Danio rerio: one gene and its partner. The protein of the gene in region 1 purifies or fractionates together with the protein of each later gene. This does not show direct contact. Links are inferred from orthologs where the notes say so. Each region holds a gene or a part of one and is shown on either strand. Other genes may lie near its edges. The genes, in order: scfd1 and use1.

Region 1 (12,184 bases):
AGGACAAACTGAACAACAACATTAGAAACCAGCGTCGCTTTCTCAGGCGTCTCGTTTCAAAACTGCAGGTCTCAGACATTTTTGAGGGATCCGATGGAGCTAAAAACCTGGCTCTGAACTCAAAAGGTACATTCAAACCCATTTTTTAAAATTAGAAATGACCTTCACTAACAAAGCTAACAACTGTTGTGTGTGCAACAGCTCTGAGGGACGATCTCTACTTTGATGTCGGCAGTCTATTGGCCCTCTCTTTGGTTCACGGAGGTCCTCCTCTGGGCTTCTTCTCTCCTGCACTGTATCATAGTCTGTTCAACTATCCCAAAAACTACAGGCCTACTTTAGAAGACCTCGGAGACACTGCTTTTGGGCACAAAATCAGACAAGTGAGTTTATTTGTGTAACTTATTAAGAACCTAATGGTTGTTGTACACATGTTAAACTATAGTGTCTCTGTGTTTTTAGATCGCAGAAGCAAAGTCAATGAAGGAGCTGAGACATGCGATGAAGTCAGCATCACAATATTTGGAAGCTGCAGGCTGTTGGCGGAAGATCAGCAAACTCTCTGAGAAAGACATGTTGGTGGAGGATGTACTGAATTTCTACCTGATCATCAGACTGCAGCTTCCTCTGCAAAGGTTTGTAATCTAAACTGTTAAGACGTATATCTTAGCATGTAAAAAGCATAATTATAGGGTCAAATGTGTCAAATCTAGTGATTGATTTATAATAAAGACAGTATGAAATTATTAAGATTAGTTAGGATTTTGGGGCTGCACTGTGATCCTTAAAGGGCACCTATGTTACAGTTCAGTTTTTGTAGACTGTTTGGACAGAACCCAACAAGTCTCTTTTTTTAAATTTCCTTATGTTAAAATAGGACCCTGTAGGGATTATTTACAGTTTTAACTCAAAGAATGACCAGTCTGTCAGATGAAGTAGAGCCGGAGTCAGAAGTTTTACTGAAGATAGTTTGCAGTTTCATCAACAGAAGCCAGCTTCAACACTCGCAATAAGTTCCTTGGCCGCTCTGCTTACAATCATAAATCAACATCAATTATACTCTCTACACAAGACCAGAAAGAGTGTGATTCAGGTAACAGGTTCCGATTGGTTAAAACAAAGATAGACAGTTAAAATATTATGTACAGATGGCAACAGGAGGTTTGGGTCAGGTCAGCCGCCTGTAGACAATTATGAACTGGTCTTAGAACTGCAGAACTGACCCATCGGATGAATATATACACGCAAGTGACAATCTGTTATAAAAACCCAAGGTTGTTTCTTCATACTCTCAGCTGTCTTATCGAACTAGTTCAAAACTGGTATAAACAGCATTCAGACTGCTATATTTTTACAACACAAAGTCTATAAAAATCACTTTAAAATGAATATACACATAACAATAATATCAAATTCACTTTAGACAGTAACACATAGCAATCCAAATAGGAAAACAGTTGTTTTTAATCATCAAGCCCTTCAGTTCCACTTGAGGTTTCCTTGACCTCTGATCTAGTTTGGTGGCTCCTGAAAGTAGAGTTAAAATAGAAAGACAAAAAGACAGGCAAATACACTGAACATTCTTATATTATATTAAGCAATGTGTTAACTTTATTTATTAGTCTAAATCATTTAGTGATTAAATACTGAATTAAATAATCATGTTAATAAAGTTATGAGAAAAAGGATAAATGTTGATCCATGCTGGGATGGATTGAAAGGCAGAAATTCGAGTCCATCAACCCAAATCCCAGTAATTTTGAGGCCCACAGCAAGGAGATGTAGGAGTGCGGTTTATGGAGACAGGTGCCTTGTCTCCATAAAAACTTGTATACACATGTCCACAGAACATTTTTTGCAAAGATACATGTTACAACTCTCTGTGATCAGCTGCACATCAATTAATTTTATAAGTTTAAAATGTTTTTAAAGCAGAGCCCGTTTGTAATAAAGGTAATAAAAATAGTGGGCGGGGAGAAGCAGCTTATTTGGATTTAAAGCCACAGGCTACATAAATAGCTACACTAACCTCAGACAGCAAAATCGGCAGATTCTGGACGATATGATAAATTATCTGATGAGTATTTTGAACTGAAACTTTACAGACACATTCTGAAGACACCAAAGGCGTATATTACATTTTGTAAAAGGGGTAAAATTGGTGCCTTTTTAAATAAAGTTTAATATATTTTATCAAGCAACACTTATTCGAAATATTCATGAACTAAAATTTTGTGTTTATAACATTGTTGCATTGATAATTTGTTGTTTGTCTTCTGTAAGGTGTGTGTGTGCGTGCGTGCGTGCGTCTGTCTGTCTGTCTGTCTGTGTCTGTAGAATTTTTATTTTTTTATTTATTTTTTATTATTATATGTAATTTTTCGCATTTCATTTTTACATCTTTAAGACCCGTAATTATAACATTAATTGAACATATTTTACTGTTCAACAATTTGGTTGGTACGATCTCTCTTTTATTATTTAGTGAGAAATCCATTATTTTATTTAGTACGTTTCCATTAAGCTTATCAAAAGTGACTTTAAATATGAATGACAAAAATGAAGAATGTTTTATTTAAATTAAAATTGAAATGATTACAGTTTTTTTTCCATCCATCATAGAATGTTAATAAGTCATTTACGTTTTTGCATTTAGAATATGTAATTTGTCACAGAACCAATAGCATTTGCATTATACTGTCAGATATTAGAAACCTGGATTAGTATAGAATCTTAACATTTTTGTATTGTGGTAAACCAAAGTAAAATGTTTAAAAATTCGATAGTAATTTCTAAACTGTGATCACATTAACTGCCCCACCAAAAACAATGTGGATTGCATTTCTTAATTCCTAATGGCGGTAGTTAACACTCAAAGCATTTGTTTTTTCAGCACATCCCATAATTTATAAAATATCAACCATTTGGTAGAGGTAGAAATGATGCATATGCTATGAAAATCTGAAAAATATGAAGTGTAATTTCAATTTATAAAAAATAATAATAATAAAACATTTTTGAATACTAAATCAACTTTATTTTTTAGTGTGCCATAAAATATTGCCGATTCTCGTTTAACTTGTTTTCTGTTTGTTTCTGTTTTTTACAATAAAACCAAAATCAAGTGTAGTAGTGCAACATAATAATGTTTGTTTGTTTGTTTGTTTTTTTTTGTTCTAGTTTTTTTTTTTTGGTAAACCAACGATGCTGTTTGTGTAAACTATTATTTAAAACAGTCACTTTTTAAAGGACTGTTTTATTTAAAACAGACAAAATATGATCATCTATAAGTAGAGCAGGCAGTGGAACAGTTAAGTGGAGCAATAACTGCTAGAAAGTTTGCATTAGAATCATACAAAAATGTGAAATAACTTCAAATAGAACACGGTTATTTTGAATTGTTGCATTTATTTCAAATAAAATGTATTCATGAACTTGTATTATTAGTTATTATAAAATTATTAGCTCTTTAATTTTACCTACCCCAATCTGTTTAATTCTAGTGTATCCACATAATGTTTTAAAGCACCTTCATTTCTCTTCATTGTGAGCAAATGTTCATTCAAGCTCATATTTCTTTCCTCAGATTCCGTGAAGGTTTGAGGACACTAGGAATGTTCGAGCAGGTCCAGATGTGCTCAGAGACGTTCTTTCCAGTCTTCTGTGGACCTGTGGAAAGGCTGACGGCTGAATCTGTCATGGAGCTCTTCACAACCCGGTTATCAGAAGAAAAAGAAAAACAAGTTCTAGAAAAGACCACGATAAGCTTTTGGAAACAGTATCTGCATGAATGTGAAGGTCTGTGTGTTACATTTTGGATGAATATGAAGAGAATAATCAATGCATTTTGAATAATTTTAACCCTTCTCTTGTGTTTCAGAGGGTCAATGTGCAGCATCGCTGGAGGACCTCCTAACATTTGCCACTGGTACAGATTTAGTTCCAGCCATCGGATTCAAGCCCACTCCGTCCATCTCATTCCTCAGCTCACCAGACAACTTGTGTGCTTTTCCTCAGAGCAACTGTGATGCCAATCATCTCATTCTGCCTACTCTACCCTCTTACCAGCTCTTCAAGAAACATTTGGATTACACAGTGTGTCAGTTCTCAGTTATGCAGGACATTTAAAGCCGAGCTGGATGTTTCAGTAGAGTCATGGTGTAGATTCACATAATGATTTACAATGGTGCTAAAAGTCTTTTTGTTTGCAGTTAGCGAGTATTATATCAACAGTCTTAAATCGCATTAATGTAAATGATTCACTCTATTTATCAGTAGTTAAACGCAGGTTTTAGAACTTGATGAACTCTGTGTTGTTTAAATGGTCTCAGTTATTGATCCAATTTAATTCTCAAAACAATTTGAGCCACTCAACTATTGAGGAAAAACTCTGAGGTAATATTTTCTACAGAAGCTTAGACTCATGGAAAATTTGTTTTTAAAAAAAGATTATATGTGTGCTTTTCTTATCAATTTAGACTTGAAGAGATTGGGAAAGCTGGTCATGAGCATGTAAATGTAAATAGCTTAATGTAAATGTTGCTTTGAATGGCTTAGATGTTGATTTTATTAGCTTAGAAGTGCAGAGGTTTTTAAACCAAAGCTCAAAGTAGTTGAGTAGTAATGAGTTGTTATGTTCTTATGTTCTTGATTTTTCTTATAAAAAAAAAAACTGCAAAGCTTAAATTGACGCGCTTATAATTTTCTGGTAGCCACAAGATGGAGCAATTGCAAGATTTTTGCCACACTGCTAATGGCAAAATGCCGTCACTACAAATGAAGTAGTTACTGAATGAATTGGTCTGCTTTGCTTGTCATTTCCATTAGAATCACATTTAAGCAGGTATGTCTTTGTTCTTGTACAGTTTTATTTCTCCTGATGTCTTTGTTTGATATCTTGACAACTCGATAACTGCTATAACTTATTTGTTTTAACTTTCTTTTACTGTGTTTACTTTTATTAAATAATGAATGGATTTATAATGTACTTACCTGAAGGTTTTTTTCAATCAGTCTTAAAATCACCTATCAAATAATATGCACACGTCCATCACATCAACAAAACACTGATATACATTTTTAGTCAGAGCAATTAGATAGACTATCTATGCATCCATCTGTTTGACTGAAGTCTGTCTAGATTGCCATTCATCCATAAATGACTTTATGGATTAAGGACTGGACAATATAAACAGACTCTAGCCAAAGACAAACAAATAGATGCATTGATCAATGTAAGACAGATAAAGGGATAGATAACTGGATAGACAGACTGATGAATACAGTGTAGTCAACATTTGAAGTGGAGGAAGGTTTGTTAGAATTGTTTTAAGTGATTAAGTTGTTCACTAGCTTAAGGAGAACTTTGATTAGAGGTTTTGGTCCACTTAAAATGTTGACTACTGTATATTGTCAGATGGGCAAACTGACAGATTTTTTGTGATTTTTCTAGAATTGTCTAAAAAAATAATCTTTTTAACTTTTATACTATTAATAACCTCATTTTGCTTTGGTCCAAATTAGCTATATCATTTTTTTCATATTTTTTAATCATTTGTACTTTTTCTTAGATGTAAGATGATAGATAGACAGACCAAAGGGTGAATATGCAGATAGACAAACTGATGGATGAATTGATAGACTTGATTGACATTGATGGATGGATGAACAGATATGTAAATAGACAAACTGGATAGATTGGTAGACAATAGGATGAATAGATAACCAGATATATAGACAAGTTGATACAGGGATAGACAAAAAATGAATATATAGGCAGATATATAGACAAATTCATACATGGTGGGATGGATAAACGGATGAATAGATTGACAAATTAGGGCTAATCATATTGAAAAAAAATATGATCATGCAATATTTGAATTGTATCCCAATTTGGATCATCACAGTTTAAATGTTATAATACTTTTACTTTTTATTTTCATAGACTCAAATAAGGATAAAACAATACAATTCTATAAAGCCCTTAGGTCTTGAAATCCATAAAACAAGGCAAATGATAACACTGAAATGTGCCTGTCAATAACTTAAAAGAAAGTGATTGTTTTCTTCTGATAAATAATTGAACAAAAGAGAAAAATGTTAATTTAACTTTAATATTTTTGAGCCTGGTAAAAAAAATGCTTTTCATAATTTTATAATGCATATATTCTGTCTAGAGAAACTAAATTAAAAATCAAAATATAAATTATTTAAAATCATCTGATAAGCCCTCCTTGATCTGTTTACTGAGGATCTCCAGTGGTGTGAGTTCTTGTACGCTGACAGACAGCGGCTCGCCGGTTGCCACGTCACCCTCGCAGTCGTCACTGCATAAACAGTAAAGATGGCGGCGTCCATCCGGGAAAAACAGACAGGTCTGTTCTAAAGTTTTTATTTATACACAAACACTCAATGCTGGCAATATTATTAATACTAGTCATTTTCACACGATTTTAAACTCTGTCAATTAAAAATACAGACAATAATGCTGAATGCAAAAAAACAGAAGTAGTACAGTCCTGTCAGTGTAGCTGAGGATGCTAACCGTGATGTTCATAAAGCAGCTACTTAATATGAGATGAATGAAAGATTAACCTACATGAGTGCATAAAGAAACACTTGTACTTTAAAAATATACGAAATGTATACGACTATTATTACCCGTGAGTCCTGTCATGAAAATAAATTGATCTGATTTAGCAAGCTAGCTAAAATCACGAACATTATTCAGATCAATACTTAACGTTAGGTACAATATATTTATGATAATTATTGGGTAACGTTACAGTGTTGAAGGGAAGGTTACGTACGATATTTTAATTTATTTATACTTAATTTATTTTAACTAATTCTATATGCGGTGCAATATCACATTAATATACGTGTATTGTGGATAATTTATCGTTAGTGGATAATATATTTAATATAGTTATTTGTCCTAACAAATCTTTATTGGGATGGACAAAAATACCTTTGTTATTATTTGGTCATTTAAATATTGATTCTCTATTTTTCCGGTTTTCTTTTTTTCTTCTTTTTTTTTAAGTCAGAGATACACAAATGACATGATATAACCATAACCTATAATTTGATGTTGTTGTATGCATTTAAGTATGGGATAGAGATAACGTTGGTTTTCGGACTTTCCTCTTAATAATATAATTTCATAAAAGTATTATTTGCAAACTCTAAATAGCGAAATCCTATTAGCAGCCAATGACTATCAAAGTACAACATTGTTCACAGTCAAATAAACAGTGTTAATGTTGTTGAGAAGTCATACTTGCATGCTAATTTCAATAGAATATTCAAAGTAACATGGTAAACAATATAGAGTCTTCTAAATGAACGAATGTGCAGATATAAAACCAACTTTACCTCTATGAGTATGGGTTCTGATTTAATGTTCAAGCTCTTAATTTCTTTTTGTCAATTGAACATTTAAGAACTGATGTTTGCTTTTCATTTCACAAATGTCAATTGCATTTTATTAAATCTACATTTATTAAATCAAATCGAGAATTAGATCAAGGGTCAGTTGGGTTCTAACAGAAATGAGCGCTTACAAATCAGAACTAATGAACATTGGATAAAATGCATCATTTCAAATTAGGGGAGAATCTATGCTTTGGTTGTTAAAAATTTCAGAAGCAAGAAGGATTTTGTGATTTGGTTTGTTTATCTAATCCAGGGGTCACCAAACTTGTTCCTGAAGGTCCGGTGTCCTGCAGATTTTAGCTCTAACCCTAATCAAACACACCTGAACAAGCTAATCAAGGTTTGACAAGGTATACTTGAAACACCCAGGCAGGTGTGTTGAAGCAAGATGGAGCTAAACCCTGCAGGGACACCGGCCCTTCAGGACCGAGATTGGTGACCCCTTATCTAATCGTTTATTTGTTCATTATTTATTTATTAGTTAAAATATATATGTGCACTGCACACACAAATCTTTGAAGCAAAATTAAGTAAATGTAAGGTTCTATTTGTTAACATAAGTTAACTACAGGGGGCGAGGTAGTGGCGCAGTAGGTATTGCTGTCGCCTCACAGCAAGAAGGTCGTTGTTTCTGTGTGGAGTTTGCATGTTCTCCCTGCCTTCGCGTGGGTTTCCTCCGGGTGCTCCGGTTTCCCCCACAGTCCAAACACATGCGGTACAGGCGAATTGGGTAGGCTAAATTGTCCGTAGTGTATGAGTGTGTGGATGTTTCCCAGAAATGGGTTGCGGCTGGAAGGGCATCCGCTGCGTAAAAACTTGCTGGATAAGTTGGCGGTTCATTCCACTGTGGAGACCCAGGATTAATAAAGGGACTAAGCCGACAAGAAGATGAATGAATAAAAAGTTAACTACATTGGTTTACAGCCTTTTGTATGAGTTACTTTCAACAATAACACACTTTATTTCAACGTACAAGTCTCACTTTTACTGAACCATTGACTTTTACCTCAGTAAACACCTTATTTGCTCCTTGTTAATAGTTATTAAGGTAGTAGTTAGTTTTATGTATTGGGTAGGATTAGGTATATACTGTATAATATCATTATGCAGAATTAGGCATGGGCTGGTATAAGATTTTGACAGTATGATAACCTTAGATAAAATTATCAAGGTTACACAATTTCTCAGTATTATGTTCACTGCCATAAATATGCTCTTTTTTAATGTCTGGGTAAAAAAAAAAACTTTTGCCTTTTAAATTTGAACACAATATATTTTATTTTGAGAAACATTTAAAATATTTTGGAGCAGTAAATATGTCAGGCTAAATAATGAAAATGAATTGTTAACTTCTGCTGCCTTCATTAGCTTACACTGATTTCTTTACATTTAAAAAGTGCATCTTGGATATCTTTTCCGCCGGAGATACTGTTGTCCTTAAAAACAAACAAAAAATAAAAATTTACAAAAGAAAATCTTACAAATACCGTGGGAACGGTTTAACTGAAAATGTTGACGTTTTTAAAACCTGACTTTTCCAAACCGTGGTAAACCTTGAAAAAGATTATCGTGCCATCTCTATGCAGATTATATACTTTATAAGTACAGATTAACAGCCAGCATCTTAATAATAGGCAGCTAAAAAAGGCACTAGTTAATAGTGAGAATTGGTCCTATTTTTTTTTAAATATCTTTTTCTGTTAATAATATATCATTAATAAATACAACTGAAAACTGGGGCGACGCAGTGGCACAGTTGGTAGTGCTGTTGCCTCGCACCAAGAAGGTCGCTGGTTCAAGCCTCTGCTGGGTCAGTTGGCGTTTCTGTGTGGAGTTTGCATGTTCTCCCTGCGTTTGCATGGGTTTCCTCCGGGTGCTCCTGTTTCCCCTCAGTCCAAAGACATGCAGTACAGGTGAATTGGGTGGGCTGAATTGTCCATAGTGTATGAGTGTGAATCAGTGTATACGGATGTTTCCCAGAGATGGGTTACAGCTGGAAGAGCAATCGTTGCATAAAACAAATGCTGGATAAGTTGGCGGTTCATTCCGCTGTGGAGACCCCAGATTAATAAAGGGATTAAGCCGAAAAGAAAATGAATGAATGAATAAACAACTGAAAACTGAGTTAACATGAACTAAATATGAAGAGTTTGCTGTGGTTGTTGTTTTTTTTCTAAGATTTATAAACATTGACACTGTCAAATCTTGCATGTTAACTGTTGTTAAGAATTGCTAATATATGTCGTTGCTATTTCTCTTCTCAGCTGCTCTCAAACGAATGCTCAACTTTAATGCCCCACCCCTTAAAAACACAACAGCTGAGCCAGTATGGAAGGTAAGAGACAAACCTAGAAGTTTCCCCTTTTTAAATGTGCTTCAGTGATGCTTTTTTGGCTCACACATTGCTATTCTTGTTAGGTTCTTATTTACGATCGCTTTGGCCAAGACATTATATCTCCGCTTCTGTCTGTGAAAGAGCTACGAGACATGGGCATCACTCTGCACCTGTGAGCACCTCTAAAACATCCAGTCAGCTGTTTCATAATACTAATCGAAATGATCGTTCACAATTGTTTGTTTCTCTCTAGCTTGTTGCACTCAGATCGCGACCCCATTCCAGACGTTCCTGCCATTTACTTTATAATGCCCACAGAGGAGAACATCGACAGGATATGTCAAGTAAATATGCTTGTTTTGGTCAGTCCCATTCAAAGATAATTTGTTTGAATAATTTCAGAACATTTATATGCTCCATCACAGGACCTCCGAAACCAACTATATGAGTCCTACTATTTGAACTTCATCTCCGCAATTTCCAGAAGCAAATTGGAGGATATAGCAAGTGCTGCGCTTGCGGCTAATGCAGTAAACCAGGTGACCAAAGTAAGTCCGACATGTTTGTTCACAGTGAGTGTCTGTTGTGCTTTTGCTAGAGCTCGAGCTCAGTGAAGTCATGCAGAAAGCCAAATAACATGCTGCTCATATTTATTTCAGCTTAAATGTTAGACTGTTCTGTTCCTCCTCAGGTATTTGATCAGTATTTGAACTTCATCACACTTGAGGATGATATGTTCATTCTCTGTAATCAAAACAAAGAGCACATCTCCTACCATGGTAAGCTGTTAAACCCACTTGAAATATTAATTAATTTATTTTTAAATATAATCCAGAGTTATTAATAGTTGTCTTGTTCTGTTTCCTCAGCAATCAATAAGCCAGATATCATGGACACAGACATGGAGGGTATAATGGACACAATAGTGGATAGTCTCTTCTGCTTCTTTGTTACTCTTGGTAAATAAGGATATTAATTTGTTGTATCCTATCATGCATATGCACTCCCATTCAGAAGTTTGGGGGTTTGTTAAGGGTTTTTATGCATGTTTAAAATGTCTCCTACGCTCACCATTTAATTATTTAAGTTTAATTCATATTGTGGGTTTCATAACAGTTTAAAACAGCTGTCTAATTTAAAGGCATAGTTCACCCAAAAATCAAGATTTACGTACCATTTATACTGGCTTATGTTGTTCCAACCATTTTTGAGTTTCTTTTTTCACTGAACACAAAGAAGATGTTTTGAATGTTGTTCAACGGTGATAAGCTTTGACATCCATAGTAAGAAGAAAATAGTATGCAAGTCAGATTTTTTTTTTTCAAAATATCTTCTTTTCTCTTTATAAGAAGAAAGAAACTCAGATTTGTTTGGACCAAGTGGAGGGGTTAGTAAATGATGACAGAATAAAAATTTCTGGGTGAACCATGCTTTTAATGCATTTTAAAATGTATTTATTCCTATAATGGCATTTTCAACATCATTACTTCAGATTATCACATGGCATGATCCAGAATTCTTTCTAGTATGCTGATTTGATGTTAAGGAAACACTTCTTATTCAATCATTCATTTTCTTTTCGGCTTAGTTCCTTTATTAACCTGGGCCACAGCGGAATTAACCGCCAACTTATCCAGCATATTTTTCACGCAATGGATGCCCTTCCACATGCAACCCATCACTGGGAAACACCCATATACACCCATCCATACACATACACTACGGACAAATTTAGCTCAATTTACCTGTATCGCATGTCTTTTGGACTTGGCACCCAGAGGAAACCCACGCAAACGTGGGAAAAACATGCAAACTCTACACAGAAACGCCAACTAAGGCACGAACCAGCAACGTCCTTGTTGTGAGACAACCACACTTATTATTATTATTATTGTTATTTTTATTATGTTGAAAGCTGTTTACAGGGCACCTATAATGAAAATGTATAATAAATAATCTGATGGGTGTTTTGAGCTGAAACTTTACAGACACATTCTAGAGACAGACTTATCTTAAATGTTGAAAAAGGGGTTAAATAGGTGCCTTTTAAAGAACAGCATTATTTTAAATACAACATTTGCATGCTCTGAATATTGTTTACTATCACTTTTGATCAATTTAAGTCATCCTTTTTTTTTCAAATAGAATATTTTCATTAAACTTACCTACACTTTTAAAATGTATTTTGCACTTTAAATAACCAATATCAAGTTAAAAGCACATATTTTAAACAATTTTGTGCCTGTATTATGAAATCATGAAAGAATAATAATTGATGATTGCAAACAGGACTCCCAGTTGCTGTCTCTGTCTGTCTAATTTTGACTAATGTGAATTTAAAAAGACTTCATATTTTATCAAAATAAAAAAAGCAGTCATATTTTTAGCATCAAGCTCACATTACAGCTA
Region 2 (10,940 bases), on another chromosome or scaffold:
CATAATGTATTACAAAAAATACATATATTGGGTGAAAACGCCTCAATGTATCAATATTAGCTTGAAAGCTAAAAACAGCTAGCTTAGCAATGTTTCTACAGCAGTTATGAAATGTCTCGTTTGATATGAACTACCACAGACATTGACTTTTATAATAATAATTCATCATTTATTCGTGATGTCTTCCCTCAGCAAACCCACACCGGAAACGCTGACAGACTACAACCGTAAAGTGGATTTCCTCAAGGGGCTTTTAGAGGCAGAGAAACTGGTCTGTTTTTATGTTTGGTTTTTTGGGTTTCCACATATTGATGGAAGCAACTTTTCTTCCTGTGATTTTAACTGTTGATGTTTTGTTTCTGTTTTGTAGCCGTCTCCAGCTGAGAAGTCTTTAGCCAATCAGTTTCTGGCTCCCGGACGAACGCCGACGATCTCCAGTGAGAGAACGCCAGCCAGCAAAACAGTCCACATTCAGAGCAAAGCCAGATGTGCTGGAGAGATGCGGAAAGAGTTGATGAGCAGCGTACGAGAGCTTGATTTCTTTACTATAAATCTGCTTCATTTGGATTTGTTTTATTTATTTTTTTGTTTAAGTTGATTTGTTTTATTTAAAGACTAGATCACTGGTGTAAAATGCAGCTCCTGGAGGGCCGCTGCTCTGCACAGTTTAGTTCCAACCCTGCTTAACAAACTTGTGCCACGGTCACAGTTGAGTTTGTGCTTACAAAATTCTGTAGTACGGCGCTGCGAAAAGGAGTGGAATTAAACAAGATGATTAGACATTTACGAAATCAAGCGATTGGTCCATATTTACGTTTCTATCCAGAGAGGTCATGTTTTAATCATTGATTGGTCTCACGCAATTACGTGATGGGATTTTCGCAGGTCAAAGTTCAACAAGCTTGAACTTTACAACGCAGCGAACTACGAAACTTGTCGCAGGTGCTTGCGTTTCCGTTCTGACGCATTCGGGTGAGTATGACTGAAAATCTATGGGGTGAAAAGTCCAGTGTGACCACGGCTTTACCTGTAGGTTTCAAGCAAGCAGTCAATTAGTTTGATCAGGTGTGTTTAATTAAACTGTGCAGAGCTGCAGTCCTCCAGGAACTGGATTTGATACCTGTGGACTAGATAAAGATCCTTCTAATGTTGTGTTAAAGATCAGCACTATTGTATTAATTCAAATTCTATTTAGTTTTCATTTATTTATTATTTAACTTGAATTCGTTTTTTTATTTTAAGATTTTCTTTTCTTTGTTTAGTCAGTTTTTGTGGTAATTATAAAATTAGTAGCTAAAATAAAATAGTCTTGGAAAAGTCTTGGTATTTTCTATTTAAATTATGTATTACTATATTTTTTATATTTGTATAACATAAATAATATAATATAATATAATATAATATAATATAATATAATAATATAGTGCTTCACAAGCCTAAACAAATGTTAAAAACTTAAAGTTTGTGTATTCAAATATAGAAAGAGATAAGCAAAAATAATATAATAATATATTAAAATATACTTAATTTTAATTTTAGATAAATTATCTGCAAAGAATTTTGTGCATATGTGTTTTTGAAATGTAACTTTTTCTCTATATTTATATATTTATTTATATAATTTTTATTAATTGTATTTTAGTTTTTTCAGTTTTTAGAGATTTTAATAACAAAATAAACATGAGAACTAGGAATGAAACAAAAAATATTTTCACTTTATGTATTTCAGTTAACAGCAAAAGTTTTATATTGAATTCTTTTGGTATATTAATTAATAAAATGTTATCTTTAAGCATAAAACTATCAACAATAGTATTGTTATTGTAGTAAAAATAAAACTATTATATTCTTACTGTTTATATGTATATGTGTGTGTTACAGACACAAATTATTGAGATATTTTTAAATGTAATTTATACTCATTAATTATTCATTTTCTTTTCGGTTTAGTCCCTTTATTAATCTGGGGTCGCCACAGCAGAATGAACCGCCAACTTATCCAGCATATGTTTTACGCTGCTGATGCCCTTCCAGCTGCAACCCAGCTGCTGGATAAGTTGGCGGTTCATTCCGCTATGGTGACCCCAGATTAGTAAAGGGACTAAACCGAAAAGAAAATGAATGAATGAATAATTTATATTTAAGCAGTAATTAAGACAGTTTTTAGTAATAATGTAATGCATTTTTCTTTTTTTAACATTTACTTTTTAAAATATCTTATTTTTTAAATCATATTATTATTATTATTATTATTTCCTTTTTAAATTGTATTAATATTAATAATAATAATGCATATTATTTAAAGGCGCCTTTCATATTATATGTTTATGTTTCCGTATTAGTCATTTTAGTACATTAGGTACATGTGAAACATTTAGATTTACATTTTCAGGTTTAATTTATTTTTACTTTGAGTAACTAAACCATCATCTTCATAACATCATTCATATATAATATTAATTGTAAAAATATATATATTTAGTACTAACCCTTCTATCTTTGTCTTAATAACAGGGTGTGTCAAATTCCGGTAAGCTGTGTCTTGTATTTTAACAAACTCAACATATTTCAGAAACTGATTGACACCTTGATCAATTATCGTCTTTATTCTTCACTTTCAGCTTTACTAGAGAACGACCTCCGACACAGGAAGTAGGTTTCACTTTCTTCAGTTCTCCGTCGAATGAGCTGCTGTTACTGGTTTCTACATCATTCCTGTTTCTCCTCTGTTTTTCAGAAGTCTTCCAGTAGACGAGCGTCAGTCGGCAGCAGAACTGGACCAAATCCTGCAGCATCATCACAACCTGCAGGAGAAACTGGCCGATGACATGCTGAATCTCGCGCGCAACCTCAAGAACAACACACTCGCCGCTCAGAACATCATCAAGCAGGACAACCAGGTGCTGTTTCTTTCTGAAAAAAAGATTTGGAGATGTATAAAATAATTGCATCTACTCACAGCAAATGATGTGGCACATTATAAAAGTGTGCATGTTTTAATTACGACATGCGTCTAGACTTCTCTTTTGTGTTTTTTGGTTCTGTTATAAGAGTAATATTTCAAGATATTTATTTTCATTGCATTTTAAATACAAATGAACACTAATCTCAAATTAATTATTGTCATATATATATATATATATATATATATATATATATACACACACACACACACACACACACACACACACACACAGTTGAAGTCAGAATTATTAAACCTCTTTGATTTATATTCATATTTGCCAAATGATGTTTAACAGAGCAAGGAAATTTTCACAGTATGTCTGATAATATTTTTTCTTCTGGAGAAAGTCTCATTTGTTTTATTTCAGCTAGAATAAAAGCAGTTTTTAATTTTTTTAACATCATTTTAAGGACAAAATTATTAGCCCATTTAAGCTATTGTTTTCGATAATTTACAGAGCAAACTATCGTTAAACAATAACTTGCCTAATTCCCCTAACCTGCCTAGTTAACCTAATTAACCTAGTTAAGCCTTTTAATGTCACTTTAAGCTGTATAGAAGTGTTTTGAAAAATATCTAGTCAAATATTATTTACCGTCTTTATGACAAAGATAAAATAAATCAGTTATTAGAAATGAGTTATTACAACTATTATGTTTAGAAATGTGTTTTAAAAATCTGCTCTTTGTTAAACAGAAATTGGGGAAAAATAAACTGGGGGGGGGGGGTTGTGGCTAATAATTCTGACTTCAGCTGTATATATAATATTACTAGTATTATTAATAATAAATATAAAATATATAAAATAAGCTTATAATAATAAAAATAATAAAATAACAGTATTTAATATTACTATTGTTATTATCATTAATCAGTTGGATGTATTATATTTAATATATTTAATAGAATAATTGTATAATGTGATTGTACCATTACTACCATATAATATAAATTCTTTATTTGTTTATTAGTTTTTGAGAGAAATTTACCACAATAAGCATTAACAGTATGTAGATGCTCAAAGTTAATATAATTAATCATATTGACCAGCTTTTTGCATACTTTATTTGGTGTATTTCTAAAGTGTATATAGTAATTATACTTATAACTGTTGTTATTGTTACTAATTTATTGAAAATTAGATGATATTAGGTTAGAAACTGTTTTTGTATATATAAAAGTGCATGTGTTCATTAGTTTTTAGTGGAATGTAAGCTGCATAAAGAGTACGTTTTTGAATGGCTGGTTTACTTGAGACCACTAGAGGGCAGCAATATGCTAGTGTTTACACTTGCAGATCTTTCAAGTGTCCTCCTGTGGTTTGTTTACATACTTCAAATCCATATCGAAACCAATGTCAGTTTTAATCACTTTATTAGCATATTATGTTAATAAATTGGCTATATTCATAATGTTTTTGTCTAATATATTGGCCTGTTTTAATTTCTTTCTGTTGTTTATGATTTTTGATTCTCTCTGCTTTGCAGACCCTCACACAGTCCATGCGTCAGGCGGACGTGAACTTCGAGAAGCTGAAAACCGAGTCCGAGCGACTGGAGCAACACGCCAAAAAATCCGTCAACTGGTTCCTGTGGCTGATGCTAATAGTTGTTTCTTTCACCTTCATCAGCATGATCCTGTTTATAAGACTGTTCCCGCGGCTCAGATGATGCTAATCCAGTTTAGCAAAACAGCTAGGTTTTATTTATCTATAACAAAAGGTTTACATATATAGACTCCAGCCAAAAGTTATAGAAATGTATGATTGACGGCCTCAGTCATTCCCGCGGAAAATCTACATTACCTGCATGCCATTGTGATGTCATAACGAATTCGCGCCGAATCCCTACTGTCAATAAAGTGATGAGGGAATCCCTTCTTTTGTTCGACCATGTTGATGATGCTCGTTAATAACGGTAAGTTATTGTTATTCCATAACCGCAAACTATTCGTCAACCATTTAATAAACGACTTATCTAACAATAAACGCTGTTAAAATTAAGTTTCAAGTAAACCATGTCTTTTTAAAGACGAGCTTAAATTAAATTACCTCATGAAAATTCTGTTTAATGTAGCCAAATAAAACACTACATATGAGATGCTTAACATGACTTAACGTTTAATTCCGCTTTTTTATGACCTCAGTCAATTGATCCACGTACTGTACTGTACGATGGCTATAAAAATGCACCGAGCTGATTTAAAGTCCGGTCGGCTTGTATCGGTTCAGTGAGGAAATGTTCTGGCAAACAGCAGGAAGTTATTTTGCTTGTCGGACGCACACATGGAGACTGTCTTCTCCACCCAGAGAGTAAATGGCCCGTATTTAGCTGAAGGTTTATTTCTGCGTGTTCTCTTATGGTGGATGAAGTGTTAAGTATTGCTCAGATATGGTGTTTGTGCTACTATTGATGGATGTTAATGTTTGTCTCAAGCGTCCCGTCATTGATTGTTCGTCATGTACTGTTTGCTTTAATTGATTCACATGAGAACAGGCGACACATTGTTTTTTTTTTTTTTGTTTGGTTTTTTTTGTCTTCAATGTGTTCAAATGTAGTGAGACTGAAAAATAGAGACGTGTGTATTGTTTTAATAAAATTATTTGCAGTCAACCATATGGTGTTTAGCTGTTTTTAATCATTTTGACAAATGTGACTGGGTGGGTTACGTTTGCTTATGGGTTTTTATATAGCTACAGTTGAAGTTAGAATTATTATTAAAATTTTTTTTTCTTTTTTTAATATTTCCCAAATGATGTTTAACAGAGAAAGGACATTTTCACAGTGTGTCTGAAAATATTTTTGTCTTCTGGAGAAAGTCTTATTTGTTAATTTCGGCTAGAATAAAAGCAGTTTTGATTTTTTAAAAACTATTTTAATGTCAAAATTATTAATGTTAACCCCATATATTATTTCAAAAGTCTACAGAACAAACTATCAATAAAACAAACCATCATACAATAATTTGCCTAATTACCCTAACCTATCCTACCCTAAAATAATTCAGGGGGACTAATAATTCTGACTTCAGCCGTATATAGAAAAGAAGGTTTTATATGTTAAGACTAAACATTTTGTATCTATCATTAATTCTATTTTAAGAGCTCCCATCATGCAAAATCAACTTGTTTGAAGCTGGTTGGTTGTAAATGTGTGTACAGAGTATCCGCAGGTCTTAAAATGTCTTACATCTCAAAACTAAATTTTTGGTCTTAAAAAGTCTTCAATCTACTGAAATGTTGTGTTGTAAGTCCTAAATCTTTTTCAACAGATTTTGATTTTCCTGTTATTTTTTCTTTATTTTAATATTATTGTAGACAGAAGTAATTTACAGCTTTGTTTTGTTCTATTCTTGGTAAGGGTTATAGGGTTTGTAAATGGATATATTTGAAGACTAATAAAAACAAATTTATTTGTTCAACAAATATAAAAAATAAATAAATAAAAAATAAAAACTAATAATAATAATTTTTTAAATATTTTCACTACATTTGAAATATTTTTTTTAAAAATTGAATAAAGCTAAAATAATTGTATCATTAAATGTGTTGAAATGTAATAATTTTTGATGGGGCAAGTGAAAATATTTTTAACTGGCATATGCGGAAAAAAATAAATCCTTAGCATTTAGCCCTGTACCGTATCAGTCTAAAATTTCATTCATAATAATGTTAAAATGTCTTGAGTCTTAAATCTACTGAAATGTTGTGTTGTAGGTTTTAAATCTTTTTTTCTTAAATTTTTTCTCTCTCTATTTTATTATTATTGTAGACTGACGTAATTGACAGCTTTGTTTTGTTCTATTCTTTGTAAGGATTATAGGGTTTGTGAATGGATATATCTGAATATTAGTAAAAAAAAAAAAAATCTAAAAATATTATTGAAAAAACTAAATTATCATTGTATCTTTAAATGTATTACATTTGAATAATTTTTAATAGGTCAGGTGAAAATATTTTCTAACTTGGATATTCAACAGCGTTCAGCCCAGTATAAGTCTAAAATTTCATTCATAATGGTCTTAAAAATGTCTTAAAGTCTTAGTAAAACCTACAGAAACCCTGGTATAGTGTGTCCACAGTCACTGGAGGGATATAAACACAACCAGTCTATTTCTTTTTTTTCCATTTCGTGATGTTAAAATAGAATACAAGTCCCAGCTATTTTGAAGCCCACTGCACTGTGAAGTAGCAGTGCAGTTTTTCCTGCCACCGATATTCATTGACAGGCTTATATTTGCATGTCTCAGTCTACAAGACAGGATTTGCAAAGAAACTGGGTTTCAAAGATCTGTTCCAACTCTGTGATTCAACTGCACTTCAAAAAGCAGTAAGTGCTACACTTTGTATTTTTTTAAATAGCAATTTGAACTACACTGTTTGAGTTACATAATTTATTACTGCTGGAATCTCCACAGCTGCATTCTACAGACCAGTGTCTCCAACCTTAAGGGTCAATGCGGACTGGTCAGCTCTTGACAATTTAATGGCAATGATGACAAGCTGACAAAACATTGCTGCCACTCTGATACAAGTTGGAGATGTGCATATTCCATAAGTAAAATAAAGCTGATCGGTCAGTTCTTGTCACAATGCGCTTGTGGTATTCTGTAGATGTTTTCAAATGGGTGCATCTGGAAGCCATCTCCAGCAGTCGATCTTCTTGCACAGACATGCTGGATTCATGTGATTCGTTGACAAATGGGTTGGGGATTCTATTCCTTGGCAGTTCGTAGGTCCTTCACTGGGCCTTTCCCCTTCCCAAATAAACTTTCCAAAGACGACTATTTCTTACTCATTTAGCTGCTTGTGGGTGACGGAAATGCAACCAAGAGCATACAGTCATTTTTTAAAATAAAGATTTTTCAAAATTAAAGATTGTTCAGAACCAGAAATTAAGTAAAATGAAAATAGTTAATAATTTCTTGTGTGGTCCGGTACTGGTCTGCATCCTGGGGGTTGGGGACCACTTGTACAGACAACTGTAAACGAGGATGCTTCAATCACATAACAGGAGTCCCGGTTTGTGGGTGTTAAATTGGGTTGATTTGTACAGCAGCTTTGCTATAAAGGATCTCTGTGCAGCACCATATTTACTCGTTTGGTGGGCATCCTGTCACATTTGCAATGAGTAGATGAGCAAAAACAGCACAATGTGTTAAACACAAGTGTGTGTGTGTGCAGAACATTGTAACTCATTTGTGTGTGGCTCATTCATCATTGCAACTAGGAAGGCTGAATAAACTCCACAGCAGCTACATAAAATAAGCATTGGGAAACTTTCTGGTTCAGGCTCCCTGTGGTGTTTGTGACTGGGTCTCTGCTTCATTGTGTCTGTCATTTTTCTGGTTTGTCCTGACATCTGACCCAGATTATTCTTTTTTTAAAGCTAAATGTCTAAAGAGTGGACGGGGAGAACCAACTCATTGTGATTTAAAGGCACCAAGCTACAATTCCCTCTGACCCCAAATTTGACATTTTTAACAGAATTTAATAATTGATCTAGTGGGTATTTTGACTTGAAACTTTACAGACACATTCTGGAGACATAATAGATTTCTGTTACATCTTGTAAAAGGCCCAAAATTGGAGTCCTTAAAATTGTTTAAAAAAACAATAGACAAATTACTGCAGCGAGGTTGCAGAAAAAAATGGGAGTGCTAGCATTTACAGCGAGGGAAGGACATGCGATACGGCACAGAGTTTGTTGTTGTCTTGGAAATAAATGTTATTGATTATATATTTTATATATTATTTACTTAATGCTTTCAGCATTTTATAACAGCTCGTCACCCAGTGATAAGCACAGTGGTTCGGCAAAATTAACGTCAAAATGAGCGGCATTCATCTGACAGGTTCATTTGCGATAGCACGCTCCCAATGAATGTTGAATAAGACGAAATGATCAAGCATCCAGCCCGAAATATACAACTATCACTTTGAAACTCCAAGTGATTTTACAGAAGGGAAGTTAAAGGCCTACAAGTCTTTGGATGCCAACAATGTTGTTCATGTGCAAGAAATAATGTTCCATAATTACTAGATTCAAAACTTTGGCAAGGTAAGAAGACGGAACTGTACAAGGCCTGGGCAATCATCAACAAGCAAAACAACTGCATTCTGACAGTGAACTCCACCGGTACGGCAGGGTATGTAAACGTACATTTTTACATTTCATTCTAAGCATTCAGTATCTGCAGTTTAATTCACCATATTTAACTGTTTTTGCTGAAATCATTGCCATAATCAAAAACAAGTAATGTGTATGATTCAGCATAGCGTGAACTTACCTGATATAAAATGAGAACTGCAGAGTCCAGCATTTTTAATTAGGTCCTCACTCCATTCAGCTCCCTTTTAGCCAAAAAACGTCTGCGGTTGGCATTAAAAGCAGTGTGGTGTACGGTAAAAGTTACGTTTTTTAGTTTTGGACTTTCGATTTTGGCATCCTACCACACAAGACAACATGTTTGCTATTGCAACCAGTCTTTTTTTGCAACCGGGAACTCGTGTGACATCAGTTATGAGGTTGGTTATTCCTCTATTGAGAAAATTAGACCAAATGGGAACCTTTTGGTAGAACATTCTGTACGAGCTGTTTCCCAGGAAGAATTTTTTTGTTAAAAAAAAAAAAGATGTCTAATAGACGTCTAAACATAGTCGTCTTAGCTAAAACAAAGCTAAATTTGGTCTGTCAGTGAAAATCTAATAGAAGCTAAGAATAGGCCTAGACTGGTCACATATAAATATAGACTACTTGACTACACATATAAAGTCTGTCTATTTGACCACTAGTCTAGTTTTGGGCTATTCTTAAATGTCTATTAGATTTTCACTGATTTAGCCTTGTTTTAGCCAAGTGTCTACAATTAGATGTCTATTAGACGTCTATTAAACACAAAATTGTTTGCTTGGTTCATACATCTTAACATTTGCCCTACAAATTTATACAATATTTTATTATTTTTCTACTGAATTACTTTAGGCTAAACCAGTAGGCAGAGTTTAATAGTGTGTAACCTCACATTGTTGTTGTTTCATAAATTAGCTGTGCTGAATACTGTAATATCGTAACAACATGTCTGACTATAAATAAACGGAAAACTGACGGTATAATGTCTAATTTCTGGTTTGTGGTACAGAAATGAAAGTTGAAAATGCCCCAAACTATTCACTGAAGTAAGGGGAATGACCTAACATCTCAGGAATATTTTATGCTTGGAAAAAAACAGCTGATGTACATGGAAATTTATGTACTTTGAAATAATGTTCTTTACGACCCCTGTCGTTGTTAGCTTAGCAGTCCCCTAATGCATCATAAATCATTGTTTTTCTGACACAAGGCTCCCGTGGACCCAAAGGCCTAATTTTCCAAACCAGGTCGATCCACCTTTGAAGTAAAGCATGCAGATAAAGTAGCTGGGAGTTTTAATTTCGCAGTTCCTGACAGAGAAAGCTGGAAGGTGGTGGGTTAGCTGGGGTGAAGGGATTGAAGTGACACCTCCGCCTGGCCGCGGGCCTCCGCTACACCGCAGGGGAACCCAGCAGGTGCTGCAGTGTTCCTGGAAAATACTCAAGTTCACAGAGATTAAGACATAATAAACCCGCCTTTTCAGGAGATCTTTAACCGTAACTTGGAACAGCTTTTGCTTGATTAATGCGAGAAAAAATGCGATTAAACCTTGTCATTTTTTGGTCACGATGTTTGAATCCAGCCGCTCGGTATGTGGTCTCTTCTCGATGTCATTTCTGTTTTCACATTTTGTCCTACATGAAGAAATGAATGTCAAATGGAAAATTTTGCCACATATTTCACAACTGGGTTGCTTATCAGTAATGGACTGCATATACACAGATGTCAGCACACTTTCAGAAATGAAGTTACTGAAGAAATTAAAGTACCAAGCAGGTCACAAAAGTGAAAAAGGTACGGCTCTTTTATGTCCTTGGATCATATATCCAAAAATCTATATAATT

Evidence for each region.
Region 2: the proteins of scfd1 (region 1) and use1 purify together in Homo sapiens (affinity purification with mass spectrometry; 3 studies listed by BioGRID and IntAct, counting the BioPlex papers as one, with this or other methods). This does not show direct contact. The link is inferred for Danio rerio from reciprocal best matches to the Homo sapiens genes SCFD1 and USE1.

The regions. Positions count from the first base shown.
Region 1 is NC_133192.1:30,292,804-30,304,987, reverse strand, and holds the start of scfd1 (sec1 family domain-containing protein 1), read left to right. Parts: upstream 1-6,301; 5' UTR 6,302-6,346; coding exon 6,347-6,377; intron 6,378-9,704; coding exon 9,705-9,775; intron 9,776-9,858; coding exon 9,859-9,947; intron 9,948-10,028; coding exon 10,029-10,119; intron 10,120-10,200; coding exon 10,201-10,323; intron 10,324-10,466; coding exon 10,467-10,554; intron 10,555-10,644; coding exon 10,645-10,734; intron 10,735-12,184. Other genes in the region: g2e3 (G2/M phase-specific E3 ubiquitin-protein ligase), read left to right, coding at 1-126, 202-383, 463-635, 3,587-3,798, 3,881-4,128. UniProt on the Homo sapiens protein: Plays a role in SNARE-pin assembly and Golgi-to-ER retrograde transport via its interaction with COG4. Involved in vesicular transport between the endoplasmic reticulum and the Golgi.
Region 2 is NC_133197.1:10,716,976-10,727,915, reverse strand, and holds the end of use1 (vesicle transport protein USE1), read left to right. Parts: intron 1-192; coding exon 193-271; intron 272-370; coding exon 371-523; intron 524-2,514; coding exon 2,515-2,530; intron 2,531-2,621; coding exon 2,622-2,652; intron 2,653-2,737; coding exon 2,738-2,900; intron 2,901-4,452; coding exon 4,453-4,635; 3' UTR 4,636-5,577; downstream 5,578-10,940.